Linked DNA regions of Caenorhabditis elegans. The protein of the gene in region 3 interacts with the protein of the main gene of each other region in a pairwise test. Each region holds a gene or a part of one and is shown on either strand. Other genes may lie near its edges. The genes, in order: C15H9.4, unc-64, memb-1 and eef-1G.

What was found.
Region 1: the proteins of memb-1 (region 3) and C15H9.4 interact in a two-hybrid assay, tested with the Caenorhabditis elegans proteins (one large-scale study listed by BioGRID).
Region 2: the proteins of memb-1 (region 3) and unc-64 interact in a two-hybrid assay, tested with the Caenorhabditis elegans proteins (one large-scale study listed by BioGRID).
Region 4: the proteins of memb-1 (region 3) and eef-1G interact in a two-hybrid assay, tested with the Caenorhabditis elegans proteins (one large-scale study listed by BioGRID).

The regions. Positions count from the first base shown.
Region 1 is NC_003284.9:6,095,608-6,100,976, forward strand, and holds the start of C15H9.4 (Transmembrane and coiled-coil domains protein 2), read left to right. Parts: upstream 1-2,035; 5' UTR 2,036-2,105; intron 2,106-5,369. Other genes in the region: C15H9.5 (GOST seven transmembrane domain-containing protein), read left to right, coding at 237-378, 858-1,069, 1,134-1,241, 1,298-1,331.
Region 2 is NC_003281.10:13,275,332-13,283,818, forward strand, and holds the start of unc-64 (Syntaxin-1A homolog), read left to right. Parts: upstream 1-1,927; 5' UTR 1,928-2,037; coding exon 2,038-2,051; intron 2,052-2,096; coding exon 2,097-2,196; intron 2,197-3,235; coding exon 3,236-3,335; intron 3,336-3,903; coding exon 3,904-4,158; intron 4,159-4,541; coding exon 4,542-4,636; intron 4,637-4,885; coding exon 4,886-5,002; intron 5,003-5,215; coding exon 5,216-5,326; intron 5,327-6,892; coding exon of another isoform or gene 6,893-6,976; exon of another isoform or gene 6,977-7,009; intron 7,010-8,455; coding exon 8,456-8,487. UniProt on the Caenorhabditis elegans protein: Plays a critical role in several secretory processes, including cuticle secretion and neurotransmitter release, and probably assists in neuronal membrane maturation or the final stages of neuronal differentiation.
Region 3 is NC_003284.9:9,439,350-9,443,468, forward strand, and holds memb-1 (Golgi SNAP receptor complex member 2 homolog memb-1), read right to left. Parts: upstream 2,223-4,119; 5' UTR 2,216-2,222; coding exon 2,088-2,215; intron 2,041-2,087; coding exon 1,971-2,040; intron 1,919-1,970; coding exon 1,791-1,918; intron 1,506-1,790; coding exon 1,424-1,505; intron 1,327-1,423; coding exon 1,222-1,326; intron 1,178-1,221; coding exon 1,049-1,177; 3' UTR 730-1,048; downstream 1-729. UniProt on the Caenorhabditis elegans protein: Involved in transport of proteins from the cis/medial-Golgi to the trans-Golgi network.
Region 4 is NC_003283.11:10,963,402-10,968,643, forward strand, and holds eef-1G (putative elongation factor 1-gamma), read left to right. Parts: upstream 1-2,317; 5' UTR 2,318-2,423; coding exon 2,424-2,432; intron 2,433-2,573; coding exon 2,574-2,696; coding exon of another isoform or gene 2,697-2,718; intron 2,719-2,763; coding exon 2,764-3,084; intron 3,085-3,128; coding exon 3,129-3,261; intron 3,262-3,296; exon of another isoform or gene 3,297-3,514; intron 3,515-3,587; coding exon 3,588-4,063; intron 4,064-4,088; exon of another isoform or gene 4,089-4,215; intron 4,216-4,254; coding exon 4,255-4,389; 3' UTR 4,390-4,521; downstream 4,522-5,242. Other genes in the region: ctf-4 (WDHD1/CFT4 second beta-propeller domain-containing protein), read right to left, coding at 1-421, 466-779, 824-1,007, 1,053-1,164, 1,213-1,446, 1,497-2,008, 2,055-2,138; dbd-16 (DB domain-containing protein), read right to left, coding at 4,570-4,743, 4,784-5,023. UniProt on the Caenorhabditis elegans protein: Probably plays a role in anchoring the complex to other cellular components.

The DNA.
Region 1 (5,369 bases), 3.3 Mb from region 3:
GTAAGATTTCAGATAAAATCTATTTAAAATATTTGGAGGATCATTTTGACTAGAAATTGAAATTAAAATTCAACAGGTTTTTTGAAATATTAACAACATAGAACAAACTGACTAATCAGAAAAATTGTACTAGGTTTCGTAAAAAAGATTATCCTATACGTATAACCCAATTTTGATAGAAAAATAACACTGATACTGGAAATACTGAAATTTAATTATTTTTTTATAAATTTTAGGTCAATTCAACACTTGGTAGAGGGAGCCACTACAGATGGAAAAGCCGCAGCCAATTTGGAAAAACTACGTTTATTTCGACAATTTTATATTCTCGTTGTCGTCTACATCTACTGCACGAGGTTTTTTGGCTTCATATTACTCGTGAGTTTTAGAATTATAACAATTAAACATGTACAAAAAAAATTCTTAGCTTCAAGCCAGCGCCAGTGGGAAAAGTGTTGAAACCCCACTTTTGTGGTGCCAAAATTCCAAATATCACAGTACAACTTTATACAATTTTTTTAAATTTTTGATATTTCGTTTCAAAAACTGGTAATTACTCAGGTTTTACTACTTCATTGAAGTGGTCGGTCAAAAAAAAAAACTACCTTTGGATTTTATAGTCTACGTATGTTTCAAACATCGGTTTTTAAACAATGTAAGTATAGATTGGGACAGTGCCAAAAAAAATGGCAAAATCTCAGTAAATGTCACTTTTTGACTATGAATTCAACATTTGTAAAAGATTTACTATGATATTCGGTCTTTTTGGTAACCTAGGAGCGTGTTCTAACAATATCGTCACCGGCTCCTACTCTAATTTTAATCATACATATGTGTGCATAATTATTCCCGTTCAGCACTTAATGCCTGTGAACCTCCAATGGACCATTGTCGCTGCAGTCGAAATGGTTACCTTCGCATTTTTCATCATCGTTGGCTACAAATTCCGGCCTGCCAATTCACACAATTATCTGCTCTTGAACTCGGATTTTGATAGCTATGATGTGGAGACATCGCCGAAAGAAGATAGGAAAGATAAAGAAAACAATGAGCAAGAAATTGATGAGCAGTGAGTCATTCGTTTTATCATCTTTGTGAAAAAATCAAAACCTTGAGTTGAGAAAATCTTGCAGATTCCTGACAAAAGCCTACTCAGATGCCAATGTGTCGAGGAGATTGGTTTCAGATGAATCATCAAACAACCAAACCGACTATCCCCATCAGAAACTTTTGAAGAAACCGTGAGTGGCTTTCAGTATTAATACATAACATTCAATAATAATCTGTATTTGTTCAGTTCTCAAACCTACGAACAATCATTGCTAGATTAATTATAATCCGTTACAACAACAACAAAAACAACAACGAGTTCAGTGCAAACGGAGGGAGGCTTATCAACTCAACCAACCAACTGTTTCGATTATAATACTATTATGGACAGGATGATCATCCAGACTTCTATCGCGTTCTACTCACTATTTTCAAACATTTTGCTTTTCAAATAACATTTCTACCGGTCCTTTCTAGATGCATGATAATGTGTATATAACTATTTTAAGATAATGATGAAAATTGAAACTGATTTTGAAATATGATAAAAACAATTTCAAATTCCATTGCAATATCAATCATTCCTTAGAAAATATTATCATCATTATCTAAAAACTTCAAGATGTATGAACTAAATTTTTTCAAACATATAGGTGAAAGTACACTGGCCAAAGTGTATAAATTCTAGTCTCCGCCTCCTTTTCCCCATCTCTAATCTTTTTTAGTTGTAACATTTAGTCCAATAAATTTCCAGTCGTGTGATGTGATAACTCGAGACTCCCTGTAAAAAAATATTGTTAATTATTTTTCATTCTATTGTGTACTATTTTCTGAACCTTCTGTGTCTTTGTGTGCTCTATGGTCATCTAGTGAATTCAATATCTTATAATTCATTAATGAAAAGAAGATTTTTTTCCTTACTTAAAATCCTTTGTAACATTGATATAACCTCATATTACAACATCTATACAATATTTCATGCAATTCAGAACGACAAACCAACTCTAATGAGGGATCGCCGCATTGGACAGCTGTCCGAGTTAAAAGGACTAGTGGTAAGAGAGGGGTGAACAAGCATGGCGAAAGGGGGTACGCATTATTGCGTGCGCGTGTTTGCGTACTGCGCGTATTAGCCATTGTCTGCCGACCACCCGGAATCCGGCCATTTTCTGTGCACCGCAATAGCCAATACCGCTCGATTATTAGTTTTACGAGCCAATTTGCTCTTTTTATAATCCATCTTAGCTGTTATCGATTTTTTTTCGAGTTTGTATGGTTTTATATGCATTTTTGTTTTGTTATTAATGCTATTATTATTGGGTTAATTGCGCAAAATAGTTTTCCAAAAGTTTTTATGTTGAAATAATAATTTCCTTCTTTATACTCCTTTTCTAATTATCATCATGGTTTTTTCTCTTTTATCTGTCGTTTCCCTCAAATTGCAAGAAAAGTGTTTTCTTTTTAATTTAATCACAAAATGATTATTTTTAAATTATTAAAAACAATATGATTTATGGTTCAATTTCAACATTCACTTGATGTATATCAATTTATATTGATTTTTCGCGTGAAAATATCTCAAAAGAGCTAATTGAAGCGCGGAAACTTGTTTACTGTGTTCTTTTTCTCTGTCTGATTCACCAGACATCACAATGCTCAGTTAGAAGGCAAAAACATTTTTTCCTCTCCTATATGCCTCTCATTGTTTTGGCCGTTTTTGGCCGTGTGGATTACTGTTTTACAAACTGTAGAATAGAATTTTCACACTTTTTTATTTTTCTTGATGTAAAAACTTTGATTTTGAACTGCAATCCGATAGGGGGAGATCTTCATTGAAAAAACGTTTTACCGCACTAGAATGTTCTCATAATTAATCAAACATTAACCAGTTTTAATCAACTCAAAAAAGTGGAACTTTACCCTTTGATAACAACTCCATTTCCGACTATGATGGTCAACGGTGCAATGATAAGAGAAACGTCTCCCCCTGTATATTGACATTTATGTGCTTTTTCAATTTTCCATTGACTACATATAAGACAGTAAGGTGGACAATAGGAAATAGTTTTGCTCTATTTTATGTTTTTGTTCACCACTTCCGTACCTGCAAAAAAGAATTCAGAGCTTGAAACCTTGCCACCTATTACGACCACAGTTTGCGTACAAATGAGTGTGTGTGTCCGTTCGCGTCCGGCCAATCCTCTCTTCGTCGCCTAGCCGTTTTTTCGCGCGCCTCGATCTTGATTTTCCGCGTTCCTGCAGTTTTCTGTGTTTTTCCGAAACTAGGCAAAATCAAAACGCGGCGCTCGATTTCTTTTCCATTTCCTGTTGACTAAGAAAAGAGTGTTTTAGTCAATCTTCCAAAGTGGTTTGATTGACATCGACGCCCCTATTTCACCACCAAAGCGTCTTCTTGCCCCCCGCTTCTTTCTTCCCTCATCTTTCAACCCTTGCCCCATAGATGGATGGCTTTTACATACTTTTGGAATACTTGCACTTCTCCCGCTGCTTGCTCTGTGTAGTTCAAAGTTGTCGAGAAGAACAAAAACTGCAAAAGGCATTTTCTTTTTTTTTTGCTTTTTCGCTTCATAGATCGTCGTCATGAATTATGTTTGGCGCGTTTGAGTGAGGTGTGAGTGCAAAGACCTTGAAAAACATTTCAATCGTTTTTTTCACAGATGAGCAGGTTGCCTATATATCTCCCCTCTCGTCAACTCGCTTTTTGTCACCATTGTTCTTTTGACCATTTTTACCACCTCTAACCTTTCGGGTTGATGTGTATCTCAATACTTTTTACGGTTGCGCCGCATTAGACCCCCGCGTTCGGGAGGAGGCTACCCCACAAGTGTTGACATACTCTTCAACGTTTCTACGTTTAGTTGTGCCCTCAATTTGTTATTTTGATTTCTTTTGGGCAAACATAACTATATTCCTTTTATTTGCCAATTTAATGTTTCAAAAAGTCGATTAATTACGTTCACAGCTCCCTTTACGAAATAGTGATGTGAATTGAAAATTTACTGGAGAATGAACTACTGGGTTTTAAACTTTGTCGTAATAAGTGCAAATAATTAACCGGATTTTTTTCTCAAAATTTGAATACCCGCGCAAATTCTTGCTGAACAAATTTTGTATGTTTTTTTTCCAAAAAACATTTTTTGTAGCAAATGAATTTAATATATTTTTTATAAAATAACCAAATATCATAATAAAACTTTAAAAAAATTTTGAAAATGTTTTTTATTTTGAGTAAAAAAGCTGTGAAAACTCAGTATTTATATATTTTTTCTATTTTTATTTTTTCAAAAATATTTTTTCATCCAGTTTTGTGCTTTGATTATATTCAAAATACTTATATTCAATAATTTCCGCATTGTAGAGATTATAACTTTTTACCGCTTCTGACTCGAAATAAGATTTTGTCCAAAGTTTTTTGATAAGTTCTATTATCATATTTGGTCATCATATATTATAAATCATGTAACTATATAAATATTTTAGGTCATAGCAAAAATGAATAGGAATTTCAAAAAAAAAATAAAAGCAAGTCCTTATTTGTTTTGCATACTTTTTCTAAATTTCTTTCAAGTTTTAGTTTTAATGTTAAAAAGTATAACAAACCGTCTAAAACTAATAATAGAGCGTCTTTACAGTCCAAACAAAATACGTGAAATTGATTTCCCGCCTCTTCAGACTTTTTCAAGCTGAAATATTTCGATCTCAACATTTTTGTTTAAATTTTGTAATAGCACAAAGTTCCAGAGTGCATTCTACATGTTTAACCATTTTTCCCCATTTCCACATTTTTCAATCGATGAAAAATTAATATAATGGCGTCGGATGAGACATACATTCTTTTATTTTCAAAATGTTCAGAAAAAAAGTTCCACTCACACCTCGTGATACAGTGACTCAGCCACTTTGAAATGACCAATTGTTAGAAAACTATTTAGTTGGTGGTTATAATTTACGTTTATATTTTAAATCATTTGACATGTTTCTCATTAAATTCCTTGGTAAATAATTTGTATTCCATCCATCACAATTTTCACAAGGACAAATACATAAATCATATTGTATTGTCGTATTAAGAAAGAAAAAAAAAACCAAATCTTGTTCGATTTTACTGTTTTTATAGTCATTCGAATGATGAATGATGGGTATGTAGGAAAGGTATGTACATAATATTACACAACTATATATTCCAAACTTCATTATACCGATAAGAAATTCAACGAAATTCTCCGACTTTTAGAGAAAAAGTTTGATAAGAGTCGATAGGCCTACATTTTGGCAGAACGAAAATTGTAGCCTGTTCT
Region 2 (8,487 bases), on a different chromosome or scaffold from region 3:
GTTTGGAAGTACTACAACTTTAAACTAAAAATATTTAACTTTAAAAAAATATACAGCATCAGTTTATGATGGCCAAATGCCATTTTCAAAAAGTTTTATGATTTTTGAAATTTGGAAGATTACCAGTTTTTGCCACTTTTTTGGAAGTCGTCGATCAGAAATTTAAACAAAAATTCCTTCGAATTTTATGGTCTATTTATGTTCTAAATATTAATATTCAAACATGAAATTTGTTCAGTTTTGTACCATAGGAGCCACTGGCGCTACTCCACCTTTAAAATTAAAAAAAAAACAAAGAGTGGCAAAAAACAGAAATTGCCACTTTTTGACTAAATAAGAAATTTTCAAAAAAAAATTCGAATTTTTTTACTATGAAATTTAATCATTTTGGCACCATAGGAGTCGTTTTTAACAACTTCCCCCACTGCCCTGATCAGATCCCTAATCCCACCAAATCATTCACCTCTCTGCTCCGTCTCACTCCTTAAAAAATGGTGGGATAAAAAAAAGAGTCGCAGAGAAAACCCGCGAAAAAAAATAGGGGTAAAGAGTCCCGCCCCTTGACACGCAAAAGCATGAAAATGGAGAGAGAGTGTGTGTGTGTGTGAGACGTCTAACTGTCTCGTCGCCTCTCCTTTCATCGTTTTGGCTCTTCCTTTTCTCTCTCTCGTGCTTTTCCCATATATATCGAACAGATGTGGTCTCTCTCTCTCTCTCTCTCTCTCTTTCACCGGGAAGAAGACGAGCTTTTCCCCCTCATCTCTTCTACTCTCTCTCTCTCTCTCTCTCGTCACTCAGTTTGCTCCTAAAACGGCTCCCCGAGACACACAACGCCTTCTATTCGGTGCTGCTCCCCCCGCGTCCACTCCCCTCCGCCTCACTTATTTTTTGCTCTTTTCCTTTTTTTTTCTTTGAATTCTCTATTCTGCCCTATTATCTTTTCAGTTTATATACAAGTAACCACGTTTTTATTTCTTTTTTTAGACTTGAAACTTACTTCAGTTACCCTCTGTCCTGTACAAAAAATTGTCAACTGAGAAAATATTTGTCATCTCTTTCTCTATTGTTTTGTTGTTATACATTAATTGATATATTTGAAATATGTAACCAAAAATATAAAATTTTAACGTAAAGTGCAAAAGGAAATACGGGTAATCTAATTAATTTTTTTTTTTGACTTTTCAAAACTTTTTTCCACTTTTTGAAAAAAACTACAACACTGTCATGTTCAAATGCCATAGTTAAACTTTTCAAAAAAATTTTGAGCATTTTTATTGTCAGCCAAAAAGTGGCAATTACTGACTTTTTGCCACTTTTATTTTAGAAAATAGCACTGCCGACCATTTATATTTGAAACATAAGTAAATCATAAAATTCGAAGGAACACTTTTTATATCGACAACTTCCAGATAAGTGGCAAAAACTGGTAATCTTCAAATTCCCAATAAATCAAAAAATTTAGATTTTTTTCGAATTTTTTACTATAATTTTTCGAATTTTTTACTATAATATGAAATTTGGTCATCAAATGTACATTTTTCGAATATAAATGTTTTTTGTTTAAAGTTGTAGTATCGTCAAAAAAGGCCTAGTCTAGTCTATATTTTAGTTTGTTCAAAAAAAATTTCAGTCAAAGTTTTGGTAAATTGCCGAATTAAAACGTACACTAAAGTACGAAAATAATAGAAAAACATTAATTTTGGTCGACTTCCAAAATTTTTAACACCAGGTTTTGACCACTCGAAAAAAATTCCCCTTTTTTTGAAAATTGTTAGTATGAACTTTTTGTGCAATTTTTAACAATCTTCATTCTATATAATTTTTTTTAAGTTTTAATAATCTGATAATTTCTATTTAAAGTATATTTTTCCCATTTCTCCTTTTTAAACTTTTAATTCGATTTTTAAATTCTCATTTTTCCTTTTCCAGACTTTCCATCAAAATCTCTTTCTTGTCTCTTTCCATTCACATGACTTTTTGACAGTCCAACAATAGGAACCACTTTTCGTGTCGAGACCTGTCAACAGGAACAACAACATGACTAAGGACAGGTGAGTCAATATTCTTGAATCAAGATAATGATGCACAAATTTTAGATTGTCCGCTTTAAAAGCGGCGCAGTCCGAGGATGAGCAGGACGATGATATGCACATGGACACCGGGAATGCACAATATATGGAGGAGTTTTTTGAGCAGGTACTGTAGTGGAAAAATTGGTGTCGAAATAAACAAAAATTATGGTTCAACTTTTTGAAAAAATACATGTAAATTTTTTCATTCAAGTCCACTTTAATAATTTGAAGTCGGCCAAAAAAATGTTTTAAACTCAGATTTTTTTAAACTTCAACTTTATTTCAATTAATTGGATTGGAATTTTGTTAAGAAATTCTCGAAATGTTTTTTTTTGAATTCCACAATATCTGAAAATTTTTAAAAATAGTTGATAATTTTGAACTATTATATAACGAGAACACAACATTCTGAGAATGCGTATTGAGCAACATATTTGACGCTCAAAATATCTCGTAGCGAAGGCTACAGTAAGTCTTTAAAAGACTACTGTAGCACTGGTGTAGATTTACGGGCTCGGTTTCGAAATTTATCGATGAAACATTAAAAAAATTTTTACTTGTGAAACTAAAGAAAATAGCGCACGTAAATCGACACCAGCGCTACAGTAATCATTTAAAGAATTACTGTAGTTTTCGTTACGAGATATTTTGCGCGTCATATGTTGCGTCATATATGCGTGATATGTTGTGCAATACGCATTCTCAAAGCGATTTCCAAACTGTAAATATTTTAGAAATGGATTTTGAACTTCTCAAATTTTCAAAAAATTCTACTAGTTTGAAAAACAAAACAAATTCCAAAATGTTCGCAAATTCTATGACCAATCACACAAGCTGTTCAAATAGTTGAGAAACAAGAAAAAATGAAACTCAATTTTGTGATGTATTTCAGTGACGTCCCCCCCATATTTCGCAATCTTTTTTTTTGTTGCTCTCTTTTGTCAATTTGCCTCGATTTTTATATATGTGTCATTTCGGGTGTCTCTGTTTCCCATGAGGGGGCGATTGAATATTCATAGTTTTTGCGCAACCGACGGCGACCTTTTTTTCAATTCATAGAGATATATAGATTCTATGGAATTTTGTTCTAGGAGCTCTCTGTGGAAATAAAAATGTTTGGGGTTGATGAAAATGGAAACACTTTAGTTGAATTTTTTTTGCAGGTTGAAGAGATTCGTGGAAGTGTGGATATTATTGCGAATAATGTTGAAGAGGTCAAGAAGAAGCATTCGGCAATTTTATCAAATCCAGTTAACGATCAGAGTATGTTTTAAAAAACTGAACTTTTAGAAAATTGATTTTTCAGAAAAATAAAAATATCGAAAATTTTCGTTTTCCAGATCTTTCGAAAAAATACCTGTAAATGTTGGCTTTTTTTTTTCTTTAAAAAATTATTTTTTTAGGCTTGGCCTTAGGCTTAGGCTTAGGCTCAAGGTTAGGCTTACGCTTAGGCTCAGGTTTAGGACTAGGCTTAGGCTCAGGCCAAGGCTTAGGCTTTTAGAGTTAGGCTTAGGCTTAGGCTCGGCGAGGCTTCGTTTTAAATTCTCCAAGAAAAGATCTGGAAAACAATTTTAAAAAGTTAAAAAAAAGAAAATTTTCATTGTTTCGATTTTTTCGGAAACTAGCTTTGAATTGTGACTCTTTTTTTTCTTTCAGGAAAAATTTTGTGCGTGTTTTCTCAGTAAAATAAACAAAGTTAGATTGAATTTTTTTAAAACAGTTTCGTTAAAAAAATTTCGAAAATAAATTTTTTAAAAAATTGTTGAATGGATAAAACAAGGTTCAAAATATTGTACTTTTTGAGACCCCCAAAAATATGCCACAATTTCAGAAACCAAAGAAGAACTCGACGAGTTGATGGCAGTTATCAAAAGAGCTGCGAATAAAGTGCGCGGCAAACTGAAATTGATCGAAAATGCCATTGATCACGACGAGCAAGGAGCCGGAAATGCGGATCTTCGAATTCGAAAAACTCAACACAGCACATTATCGAGACGATTCGTCGAAGTGATGACTGATTATAATAAGACACAGACTGATTATCGAGAGAGGTGTAAGGGACGAATTCAGAGACAACTCGATATTGGTGAGCTTTTTTTAAAACATTTTTATGGAAATTTTGCGAAGCAAAAGTTGTTAAAGTAAAAAAATCTAGAATTTTGGAGCACACCTGAATCATGGTGCTCCCAATGTCTGCTACCTGCCTACAAGGCGGCTTACGCCTACGACATATATGTATACCTGTCATAGCGCAAGACGAACCCAGAGAACATCGGACGCTTCAAAAAAATTTTTGTCAGGCACACCGACTAGTCGAATTATAAGTATCGTAGGCAGGTAGGCAGGCAGACGTGTAGGCCTAACTGGGGCAGGACAAAATTTTTCCTGACATTCTGTGCCACTAAATTTTGGATCAGTTTTTAAAAAAATTCACACAAAATTCTAATAATCCATTACATATTTTTTCAGCTGGAAAACAAGTCGGAGATGAGGATTTGGAGGAAATGATTGAGAGCGGAAATCCGGGAGTATTTACACAAGGAATCATCACAGATACCCAACAGGTTTGTTTTTTTCTAATTTAAAATTTGAAACAAAAAATTGAAAATATTAACAAAAGTTATTCCAAATTCGTTTTTTTTTTTGGCTTAAGCTTAGGCTCAGGCTTAGGCTTAGGCTTAGTCTGAGGCTTAAGCTTAGACTTAAGCGTAAGCTTACGCTTACGCTTAACCTTGAGCGCGGGGAGGCGTCCTTCCAATTCTCCAAGAAAAATTCTGGAAAAAAACCCAAAAAATGTTAAATAATTTTTTTAGGCAAAACAAACGCTAGCCGATATTGAAGCTCGTCACAATGATATCATGAAATTGGAAAGTTCAATTCGAGAGCTTCACGACATGTTCATGGATATGGCTATGCTTGTCGAATCTCAGGTTTGTGGAATTTTTGATATTACAAGTTGAATTTTCAAAAAAAAATATAGGTTTTTTCTAACAAATTTCTTAATGTCTAGTCTAAGGTAAAATAGAAGAGGTACTTTCCAACCAATCAGCGTCTTCGAGTCCGCCCACCCCGCCTGATTGGTCGTGTAATTCTCAGCTTGGAGGAAATTCAAATAATTAAAGAAAAATCCTGAGCTTTTCCAGGGAGAGATGGTTGATCGAATTGAGTACAATGTGGAGCACGCGAAAGAATTTGTTGATCGAGCAGTAGCTGATACGAAGAAAGCCGTTCAATATCAGTCGAAGGCGCGAAGGGTTCGTTTTTTACGTTTTTGGAAAAATTTAATATTGTAACTCTATTTTGCATGGATATACCTATATTGAGTTTTTTATTCATCAAAATTGATAGAAAATGTGTCTGGCAGCTGGGAAAATGTGGGTTCTAAAATTCCCAGACACGAGAATTTTTATAAATTTATTAATACAAACGGGTGTGTGCCTTTAAAGAGTATTTTTATTTTCATCGACTTTTCATAGTTTTTCGGAAACTTTTTATTTTCGCACAACAGTTTTGCATTCAACAAAAAATTGTCGTGTCAAGACCAACACGGCCCGGTAAGCAAGTGGTACATCCATGCAAATGCGCTCTACTGATAATTTGAGTGTAGCCAGGTTTGGGCGCGTGATAACGAAAAAAGCTTTTGGTCCAAAAAAAAATTCGAATCTATTTTCGGACATTTTTATGCATCACAAAAATATTGGACCACCCGTTTTTGAGATAGATGCGCCCAAACGTCCAGGTATACGGTAGACAAATTGCGTACTCATACAGTTTGCCGGGCCGTGAGTAGGAACCGTATTTTTGGCACAAAAGTCGGGCAGGAAATGATTCAAACATCATACCTCACGCGCAACATTTTTTTATGAATTTGAAAGTTTATGAAATATTAGAAAGTATAATGATATGATCTACCATTTTTCAAGTTGCCGCCGCATTTTTTTTTCAAAAAAATATCGATTCAAAAATTGATTATTGTACTGTATTAGTGATTCGTGGTGTACATCTGTAATGTTCCAGATGAAATGCTATATATTTGTGTTAATTGTTGTCATTATTCTCGTCATCGTCATTGCTGTCGTCATTTGGGTTATTGTTGCGAATGCTTCAACTTCTGTTGTGTTACCCTCAAAAACCTCAAGCTCCTCCACATCGAACACGTCTTCTCAACGTTTTCGTGTTCGCTGAAAAATTGTCATTGATTTTTTTTTTCTTAAACCCTCTTGCTTTCAAAATTCGGGGAAAATATTAATATTGGTGACGGGAATTGAGTTCAATTTTTCAAATCAATTTCTCATATGGGGGCTTTAATTTATTATGTTTTAACTTACTTTGTGTTGTCTCACTCTCTCACTCAAGTCTTTGTATTACGGGAGCATAAAATTCTGAGAATGCGTATTGCACAACATATTTGACGCGCAAAATATAACTATATCTCGTAGTGAAAACTACAGTAATTCTCTAAATGACTACTGTCTTTTTTTTGCTTAATATTAGTATTCTATCGATAAATCTCTTCAGTTTAAAATCGAGCTCGTAAATCGACACCACAGTAGTCAGAAGTTTTCGCTACGAGATGTAGTTATATTTTGCGCGTCAAATATGTTGTGCAATACGCATTCTCAGAATTTTGTGTTCTTGCATTTTTTGGAAAGTTTGTTGTTAGTTCTCAGCAGAGCGTGTTTGCAGACCGTGGACCTCCTGTGATTGTATTTTTTATTGTGATTGTCATATATTGTCCTGTGATGTGTTTTTTTTTTCGTCGTATTTTTTGTCGTAAACCATAAATGTTTCTCTCTAACCTATTTGTCCATTATTTTCAGAAGAAGATCATCATTTTGATCGTCGTCACCATCCTAATCGGCTTCGTTTCTCTGTGGCTCATTCAGTATATTCCTGGCATTTAAGCCCATTTGTTTCCCCGTCTAAACGCCCACGCTAAAAAAATTTCAAAATTTCAAATTCTATATGACAACAAAAACGGCTCCAATAATGAACCAAATTCGCTTGTTTTCTCTGAAAATAAGGGCTAAATATATCTTTGTAATTAGAGCATTAGATTAAATAGAGCAAACTTTTATTATCAAAAATATTTAATTTATTTATTATTTAGTTTCTTTCAATCAGGTACTTTTTTCATAATTAATCAACTTATTTTGGAGAAAATACTATTTGAAAAATCAAAGTGCAAACCCGCTCCACGGCCAAACGTCCCGCCTTTATAAATTGGGTCTCGTTAGGTATTTAGCGCGGCAACATCAGGAAATTCAAACGTTTTCACCCAGTTTTTCGTTGTTTTAAATATTTTTGCTGTCAAAATAATTTTTTTAAAAATCAATAAAAGCAATAGAAAGTAATTGAAAATGTTTGAATTTTCGAATTTGCCGCGCCAACTTCCTCACGAGACCCATGGTTTCAGGGCGGAGCGTTCTCAATTAGCCGTGGAGTGCGCTTGCGTCAAGGTTATATTACCGAATCTTGGATTTTTGCGCCGAAGCAAGTCAAATACAGTACCGGGTCCCAACACGACAAAGTTGCGTGCCATACAGAAATGTGCTGCGCCTTTAAAGATTACTGTAGTTTAAAACTTGTTTTTTCGAGGAAAAAAATTTTTAACTTATTACGGGAACACAAAATTCTGAGAATGCGTATTGCGCATCATATTTGACGCGCAAAATATCTCGTAGCGCAAACTACAGTCATTTAAAGGATTACTGTAGTTTTCGCTACGAGATATTTTGCGCGTCAAATATTTTGCGGAATACGCATTCTCAGAAATTTCTGTTCCCGTAATACAGTAATCTTAAAGGCGCATACTTTTTCGCGTTTAACAAAAACACTTATCGTGTCGAGACCGGGCAAAAATCACTGTTGATTTATTATCATAAAAGTACCCGAATTCCCGAACAAATTAATATTATTTTTCTTTTAAAAAAAGCCTAATTATTTCGCAATACATCCTGTTTTTGTATCTCCACTGCCTTTTGACCCACTTTTCGCGCGCTTTTCACACGTAAATCTCACCCCCGTTCTCTTCGACCAAGCAATAGTTCTTTTTAATATAAAAATTAAATTTAAATTACAAATTATTTCATTATTTTTTAAAATTAGAATAATATCGATCTCAAAATGGAAGCTTAAATATTTATTAAAAATTGTTTTTTCTACAAATTTTCAAAACTTTAGGATCCTTCCAATTTCTTACTGTAAGAAATTTTAATTTTTTTTTCAATTTTTTTTGCCACCCATTTCATGTGTTTTCTGTTCACTCACCACCAACCAACCAAAAAATTAATTAATCAATCAATAATAATAACAATAATGAATTTCTGAATCGCTTTGAGATATTTTTTTTGTGCAATTTTCTTACTAAAGCTAAATTTCAGAAGAAGATTTGCATCCTTGTCACCGGCGTCAT
Region 3 (4,119 bases):
TAGTTACAGAAATAGTACATTTTTAGCCCTACCATTTAGTGCGTATTTTATTATTTAATGAAAACTACCATTTATAGTCAAAAATAGATGAATTTTCGTAACTTTAAAAATTCATAAATCTGTTCAAAGTAACTTTTTTTGAAATGTCTTTCAGAAACTTTGTAGTAAATTTTAAGCTCTTTTAGAATTTACTAACAATATTTCAGTAGGTACAAGAAGCTTCACGTAGTTACAGAAATAGTACATTTTCAGCCCTATCTTTTAGTGCGTATTTCATTATTCAATGAAAACTACCATTTATAGACAAAAACAGATGGATTTTCCAAACTTTGAAAATTCATAAATCTCTTCAAAGTAACTTTTTTTGAAATGTCTTTCAGAAACTTTGTAGTAAATTTTAAGCTCTTTTAGAATGTACCAACAATATTCCAGTAGGATGTGTTTAAAAATCTGAATGAACACAAAATTTGCAACAAAATCGCTATGGGTATTTTCAAAACAGTTAATTTAAAGCGGAATATTAATTTTTAAAGTTTTGAAAATCCACTAACTTTGCATATGAATTGTCAGTTCAAATCAATTTCAAAATGTACTTCAAAATGTTTGACTGAAAATGCACTTTTTCTTTGCGGTTATAGAAGCTTTTGGAATTTAGTTTTCAAACTTTGAAAAAACCCCTTTTTTCTGTTAAAATCTACTTTTCTGCTCTGAATTTTGTCTTGTTGTTTTGCTATGACAAGTTTAATGAGACAGATTTTTACATTCAAAAGGCTTTTTGAAAAATTAACAAAACTTCCCATTTCCCATACAAAAATCATCATATATTATTCCAAACTGAAAGGAATATAGAGTCAACAGAAAATGGCAGGAAATTTGTATATGAACAAATAAATAAATAAAGATATGCAGGAAATGAAACAAAATAAATAATGACAAAAAAAAGTTGTCGCTGGCCAGCAATAGATATGCTATTGAAATCACAAAATACGTGGCATTTTTGGTATGTATGACGAGATGGTTGATAGTTTCGCATTCAACTGATTCTTCCTCATCCACGCCAGAATCGGTAAAATGCGTACATGAAGATGCAGCAGACAATGCATCCAATCACAAATAGGATCCAATCCTCACGAACACGCCGATCGATGACTTGAAGTGTCGAGTTAGAGAGACCCAACTCAAAATATGTTTTTAAAAGTTGAAATTAGAAATGTAACTTACAGCTTGGCCAATTTCATGCATTTTTCTCCCAACGCCGCGTAAATTTAAATGCTGGGATTTCAAGTTTTCGAGTACAGCAGATCCTTGACTTATCAGATCGTCAAGCTGCAATTATTGCTTTTAAATTCATTTTTTTCAATTAACGGAAGACAAAAATTTAATTTTAAGTGGTAAGTACCATAAACGTTATCTGAAAACTCACATGAGTGTGGGAAGATTGCAGGCGATCATTGAGAAGAAGCTCGTGGTCTCCAATTGAAAGCGCTGTATCGTTTGGCCGATATCTGAATTTCTAGTTACATACATTCAATGTTTCAAATTTTTGATCAACTTTAATTTACATTCAATCTACTAAATCTGTTACACAAATCAGAAGTGAGAGAACTATTTTGTTTTCTTTCGCAGGATTGACAAAACTTCGTTACAGCAAAATCCTTTGATCAAATGTATAAATTTGCAAATAATTTTAACAAACTTGTATACACCAGCGTTTTTATACCGTCCATATTTTCTTGCAGCAATTTAATCGTCTTTGTTTCGTTTGATAATTTGAGAAAAAAAATACTTACCGCGTCCTAAGAAGCTCATCTCGTTCAGTAGCAGCTCTCCATCTTTGTGTCATTCTCGTGTGTACTGCCGAAACGGCCATATCAACTCTGTGGACGTCGGCGCGTAACTGATCAACTCTCATTCGGGCCTGAATTTTTGAATTATTGATTTTTTGTCTTATTTCTTCCAAATTTTCTCACCGCTTGCCGCCTCGCTGGAGGTTCTCGAGAAACGTAATTATCTAATGTCTGGCAGTTTTCCTTCAGGGTTCTAAAAAATTATTTTAATATTCAAAAAAATATTTTAAGTCAGCTCACATGACATCACCATATATGCACTGTACAACAACTTGCGCATCTTGTTCGTTTTGAGTGCCTTCTAGTCGTCCAAGGTCATGTTGAACCTTCTGTAGAAGAAAATTGGTGCTTTGGTAAAGAGCCTCCATGGATAAACTGAAAAACTTTCAATTACAAATGTGAAATTCAAAAAAAAAATATCTGAATCCAAGAATAAGTAAAGTACAGATGTGTCCCCGCGTAAATCGAGGGGTGAGTCGTCGTACGCAAACACAACGACGCACAAGTGCACAGTGTGACGTCAACATAGAACGGCAATGAAAGAAAGGGGAGTAACGACGAAAGGAAGGAGGCATGTGTATAGATGGAGAAATAGTGTCAAAAGTGGAAGGAAAGAAAAAAAAAACGAAAAAGAATGGTAAATTGCAAACTTTGCTTGACATTCTGTAAGCTGAAACAGGGGTTCAAACAGTTTTTTTTCTTCCAAATTATTCCACGCATAGGTTCAATGAAAATCCTGCTTAAGAACTAAGAAAGACTGTTGTTTTTTATCTGACCGAGAAAAAAAAAATACCGAAATCATATGTAGTCTAGTGTCCAAAACTTTGAATGTGCGTTTATTATCGATACTGAGAAATTATCGCTTTTTTCTTGTATTTACTTATTCAATATTTTGAAATACTTCTTGTGCCTCAAATAGGTGCGCTAGTATTAGAACAACATATCTATTTTGAGTACAAACTTAACTTATTTGCTTAGCATTGCTTTTCTCCAAACAGTAAATAGGAAAAGTTTGCAATAAGAGAAGCACTTTTGCAAATATTATAAGAAAACGCGATTAGTTTCACTTTGAAACCTCCGACTTTTCTCTGATGTTATGACTTCTAGTTTCCAGTGCGAATGCTATGAATAATCCTATTATGTGCCACCTATTTTGTACTTGCATTCTTGCATATTTTTTTGGCGTTTCTTCCAAAAAGTCAAGTCACTCCGTCCTTTTCCCTTTCAAACTCAATTTCAAATTCTCATTTATTTTAATGGTCAAAAAAGAAGAGAAAACTCACAATTCTTTTTTTTTTCTCCGTCTTCGTCTTTAGGGAAAGTGTCAGTTTTGTTTTTGTTTTCCACTGTTTTGGTAGATAACAATGAAAAAAAGTAGAACACGGACAACAAATAAACTTTTTGTTTCGTGTATTTTTTAGAGTTCAGTTAAAAAAAACAATTTTGGAAGGATTTTTTGTTCAAACGTTCTACACTTTCATTAAAAATATATTATGGATTTCTTGTTTTTTCTTTAAATAAAACCATAAAAACAAACAAATTGAGCATTTTCCTCTGTGATCATTTGAAATGAGATTTTCATTGAGCCGGTGAGCCCACAAACAGCTGTGTGCTGTCTGCTCTTCTCAGCCACTGATACGGCTTTTGAAATGGCAGTTATTTTCGTTTTTGTTGTCTTTTTTGATGTATTTCTCTTTTTTGATGATTTGCTCTTTTTGTGGCAACCAATTTGCTTTGTGGTGGGCCCATCCAATTCCAATTTCTCACCACTTGAATTTCTAATGATGCAAAGAGAATATTTCTGAAGATGTATGTAATGTCGGCAAGTGTTTAACACATTTTATTGCTATTTGTTTCAAACGAAATATTATTGGACCCGAAAGTTTCTATTAATGGAAACTGTCAGAAGTTTGTAAGTTTTGTTTAATTTGTGTGTCAACTGCTCCATATTATTTTTAGGCAATCAATTTTGAACATACTAACTATTTTTCATTCGATGATAACTTGATTTAGTCAATTAAATTTCAAAAATAATGCACAATTAATTTTAAAAGTTGAGTATCAAAATTTTTATATCGGAATTTTTTTAGTGACATTTCAATGGTTAAATAAAATACTTTTTATATGCAGAAATATTTTCAATTTCGAAAAAGTTGTTCAAGACGCAGCAGACAGAAGTTAATTTTTTTAAACACTACGTACCTATAATATTTTGCATTTTTCAAATGTTTAAAAAATCTTTTTCTGCTGATTCAGGTGCAAATTACGTATA
Region 4 (5,242 bases), on a different chromosome or scaffold from region 3:
GGTCTTCAAAGCAAGCAGCTGTGAGAATTGGTGCGAAATGTGTGAATATTTGTCGTTGAATTCCTCCAATAGTGAAAACTCGAATGTTTCGTTTTTTCGTGAGCACAACGACTTGAGTATTTGAGCAAAGCACATCAATACACCCGTCTCCACGAGGAAGAACCATCGACCACCGCTGACTGTCGAATGCTTGAATTGGAATTACATGTAGAAGACTAGTTCCTTTCTTTTCTGTTTTAGCAGGTTCATCAGTTTCAAGATCTTCAATGTCGTCGTTTGCTTTGTCAAGTTCTTTCTCTTTTTTCCGGCTCTCAACACTTGCCAGTGCAACAACCTTCAACGAAATATCCGCGAGTTCGTAGTTGATTTCAAAGTTGTCAATATGAATATCACCGTGGATGCTTTTATTGTGAAACTCGATCTGAAAAAAAAACGCTTGTTGTGAAGCAAGCTTATACAACTTACATCTATCGTTGAAACTTTATTTGCCTCGTTAACGTAGCTGCGAATAATTCCGAATCGATTATACTTCAGAAACCTTTGTGTTGCGTCGAGATCCATTGGAGAGCTGTTAGATACAAATCGTTCAGGAATAAGAACTTTTCGGGGAGCAGGTGGATCAGAATAGACTTGCGGGAGAGGATCATTCAAATTTCTGTCCGAGCTCATCGGTCGCATTTCCTCAGGTTCACCGAGTTTAAAACCGAATTCTTCAAGCCCTCCAAGATCTTGGTTCCCATAATTGAATTGTCGTTTGATAGCTCCAAGATCGGAAGACACTAAAATTAAAACATCAAGAGAAATTATATTTACAATCCCTCACTTCGGGTATCTTCATCTTCTTCAATGGCTTCTTCATTGAATAAACTATCTTTTTTGAGTGAAGTTCTATTCAAAAGGATTGAGTCGTCATCATCACTATCAACTGCAACATCTTCAGTTTTGTTTGAAACAGGCTTCTCGTTAGATGAATCATCTTTGAAGACATTAAACAAACAGATTCCTCTCTAAAATATTGTTACTTGAAAGTGCTCGAAAAGGGAAAAACTCACATTTGAATCAGCGACAATCAATTTTTTTGGGGAGAATGGAGAAAAAACAATAGAAGTGATGATAGTGATACCAGGTGCATTTCTCACGAATTTTTCACAACACACAATATCTCTGGAAAAAATGTATTATTTATCAGTTCACACATTTACCTAAATTTACAATTCATCACTATTCCAAACAGCAATTTGATTATCCATGGTTGAGGAGGCAAGATACTTCCCACACGGCGAAAGCGCAGTAACCGAAAAATCCACAGAAGCATGATCTTTCAAACGGTATACACCAGATTCTTCCCACCCATTTCGACGGTACGATTTCACACATCCTTTTGAAGGAACAAACAGCCATTGACCATCCTTTGACCATGAGAGTTGAATACGAGGTCGTGAAACACTGAAAAACAGGACATTGTTTAAAACCGAAGTATAACATGAAACACTAACTCAATTGTTTCAAATCTTGGGAAAACCTTGGTCAGTGTGTGTTTAATCGAGAATGAATCAATGTCTATAATAGTCACATTGCCATCCACAGTAGAAACGGCCACAAATTCATTTTTTGGATCCAGTTTGACACAAAGAACTTCAGCTTCAAGACTTCTCGTTTTCAGCTCTGCATCTAAATCTTTCATATTCGTGCATTTAACCGCATAATCGCTAGATCCTCCAATAACATTTTCCCTGTTTGCGTCGACCGTTGTGACATCCATTTGGAATTCAAGAGGATCAATAATATCTCCTGCTTCGAAATTGCCCTTTTTCGCCCGTCCCACCATTTGCTGCTCGGATCCAACAATGAAATCCACCTTGCGGTAACCAAAACAGATGTTTTCTCCATACCAAGCAATAGATGATGTTGTCGCATCGGGAATCTCGATTATTTCAGGTTTTTCATCTTGCAGCAACACGTTCTTATTGATCTTGAGTACATTTCGTTCAGCATCACAAACGTAAATCTGAAAAAAACAGGTAAATATGTTTATAAATCGTTTTAAATCCTACATTTTCAGTATCTTCTCCTGAAGCATCAATGCAGATAGTTTGAAGGCCGATATTCTCCAAATTTTTAACGTTAGTAAAGCTCATCTGAAAACAATGGAATTACGAGTGAAATTATTTATTTTCATCAAAAATAAATAAAATGCGAGCAAATTTTAAACCTGATTCTTGGCGCCGAAATGCGGTAAAAAAGTGTAATGCAACCATGGACCAGTGAACTGCGTAGAACCCCTATGTTTTGCGTACTGGCATTCTGCCAGGGGCACATACGCAGACTTTTCAGTGTATTTTTCCTCTGAAGAACACCACTCTTTTCAAGCGCCTCTTCTTTGAGCGTCGCTTCACTAGATTCTCCGACTCGTTGGTGACATCATGACCGGAGTAAGTTTATAAAATTAATTTCATTAAATTTGCAGTGCTGTTAAGAATAGTTAACGTGATTTCCGTTCGTTGCATTGAAAAATGATTAGGCCAAACCTTGAAATGACGAAATTTAACCAATTATTGATTTTTATTTTGCAGAAACTGTATGGAAACAAGGACAACTTCAGAACCCAAAAGGTTTTGATTGCTGCCAAGCTCGCCAACAAGACTGTCACCCTCGCCGGAGATGCTGCTCCAGCTGACAAGTTCCCACTTGGAGTTGTACGTTTTAATTTATTTAGATGTCAGTATTTGACGATCTGTGAACTATCAATGTGCAGAATTTCAGACCCCAGCATTTGAAGGAGATGCTCTTCTCTTCGGAGCTGAGTCGATCGGACTTCACCTGACTGGAACCTCAGCTAACGCCGAGACTGTCCAATGGCTTCAATTCGCAGAAGGTTATCTTCTTCCAGCTGTTCTCGGATACGTTCTTCCATCTGTGTCTGCAGCCAACTTTGACAAGAAGACTGTTGAACAATACAAGAATGAACTCAACGGACAACTCCAAGTACTCGATCGTGTTCTTGTTAAAAAGACCTACTTGGTTGGAGAACGTCTTTCTCTTGCCGACGTTTCCGTTGCTCTTGATCTTCTCCCAGCTTTCCAAGTACACTATGACCCAGATTATATGTATACACTCCTAATTTTCAGTATGTTCTTGATGCCAACGCTAGAAAGTCCATCGTCAACGTCACCCGTTGGTTCAGAACCGTTGTTAACCAGCCAGCTGTTAAGGAGGTTCTTGGAGAAGTTTCCCTTGCCTCATCGGTTGCTCAATTCAACCGTAAGTTTCTTTTTTGTTAGTGTGAATTTGTTTTGTTCCACTGCGAAGTCAGCAGACTAGTCAATCGATTAGTAGGCGTTACAGTGGTGGAATATCAAGATTTATGTACACCGTCTTTGCTTGAAACAGTTTTTGTTTTTGCTTTGTTCGGAACGTTTTTCATGGGACTGAGAGTTGGAAATTTAGCACTGGTCGTTTACAGGGTTGTCCTGCAGTCAATTCTAAGTTACCTTAGTTTATGTCCCACACATTTAAAAAGAAATCTAATTTTATAAAAAAACTTCTGATTTTGTATTCCCAGTTTAAATTTTATTCTTATTTTACAGAAGCCAAGTTCACTGAGCTCAGCGCTAAAGTCGCCAAGTCTGCTCCAAAGGCCGAGAAGCCAAAGAAAGAGGCCAAGCCAGCTGCTGCGGCTGCCCAGCCAGAGGACGATGAACCAAAGGAGGAGAAGAGCAAGGATCCATTCCAAGATATGCCAAAGGGAACATTCGTTCTTGACAATTTCAAGAGATCTTATTCCAACGAAGACACCGCTACCAAGGCTATCCCACACTTCTGGGAGAACTTCGATGCTGACAACTGGTCCATCTGGAAGTGCGAGTACAAATACCCAGAAGATCTCACTCTCGCCTTCATGAGCTGTAACCTTATCAATGGAATGTACCAAAGACTGGAGAAGTTGAAGAAGAATGCTTTCGCCTCCATGATTCTTTTCGGAACCGACAACAATTCGACCATCTCAGGAATCTGGGTGTGGAAGGGTGACAAGCTCGCCTTCGAACTCAGCCCAGACTGGCAGGTAGGACCATTTCCTCGATTTTGAATGTCGAAGAGTAGTCATTTGTATACGTGATACACTTATACAGAGTTACACTTTTCGTATATAAGTGCTTCTTCTCGTTGGAGTTGTTTATTTAATGAGCAATTACCTCTAAACTGAAAGCAACAATTTTATGAATTCTCGATAGTTTTCACAATAATATATTTCAGGTTGATTACGAATCGTACACCTGGACAAAGCTTGACGCCAAGTCCGATGCCACCAAGAAGGAAGTCAACGAGTATCTTATGTGGGAGGGAGACTTCGGAGGAAAGAAGTTCAACCAAGGAAAGATTTTCAAGTAAACTGGAGTTTCCATACAACCCGGTGTATTTGCCATTTAATCCTGTTGTTTACTCTGAGTCGGAAAGAATAAATTGTTTTCTATTGTTTATAAAGGACCCGGTATCACTTCAATAAATTATATCTTCTTCAAGTTGAGATTGAATTTATTCGTCTATAAGTGTTCCTAAATAATTTTAGATTTAAAAATTAGCTCCTAAGCTTGTTTCTTCGTTTTCGGTCGTCGTATAGTCCTCGATGTGTCCTTCGAAATATTCTTGATTTGCGTGTTCCAAAAAGCAAGATTTGATGTCGTTGAAATATTGTACACATTGCAAATGGTTGATTGAGAGGCTATTGACATCACTATCTTGACTCTGTAAAAATCATTGCGTGTCAGTAAAATGTCTCTCAAACCTGATCGCAGAAAGAGTGACAGTGTATTGGAACTAATGATTTGGAGCAGCATTCCGTGTGGTTTGTTCCTCGTGCCGCACAAAAATGAATCTTTTGAATTGCAGTCACTGGGCACACTGATTGTTGAAGAAACACTGCACTGACTTCTTCTGATGAGTACGTAGAATATGAGCATAAATCTGTGCAAGATGATTCAACTTCGAGAAGTGAGCAGCAGGTGGCAAAGTGCTCATCCGGTGTCTGTTATTTAGATATTATTGAAATTAAAATTTCCAGGAACTTTTTTCATAAGTTAACTTTTCCATGATTATTAGGTAGACACGTAAAGGTCACGTGGAGTCAGAAAGTCCCATTTCGCTTTGATCTTCAAGAAATGCGGGAGAAGAGACGCAGACTTTTCAACCGATTTTGCATGGTTAAGTGTGTGCTGACGTCACATTTTTCTGGGAGAAAAAATCC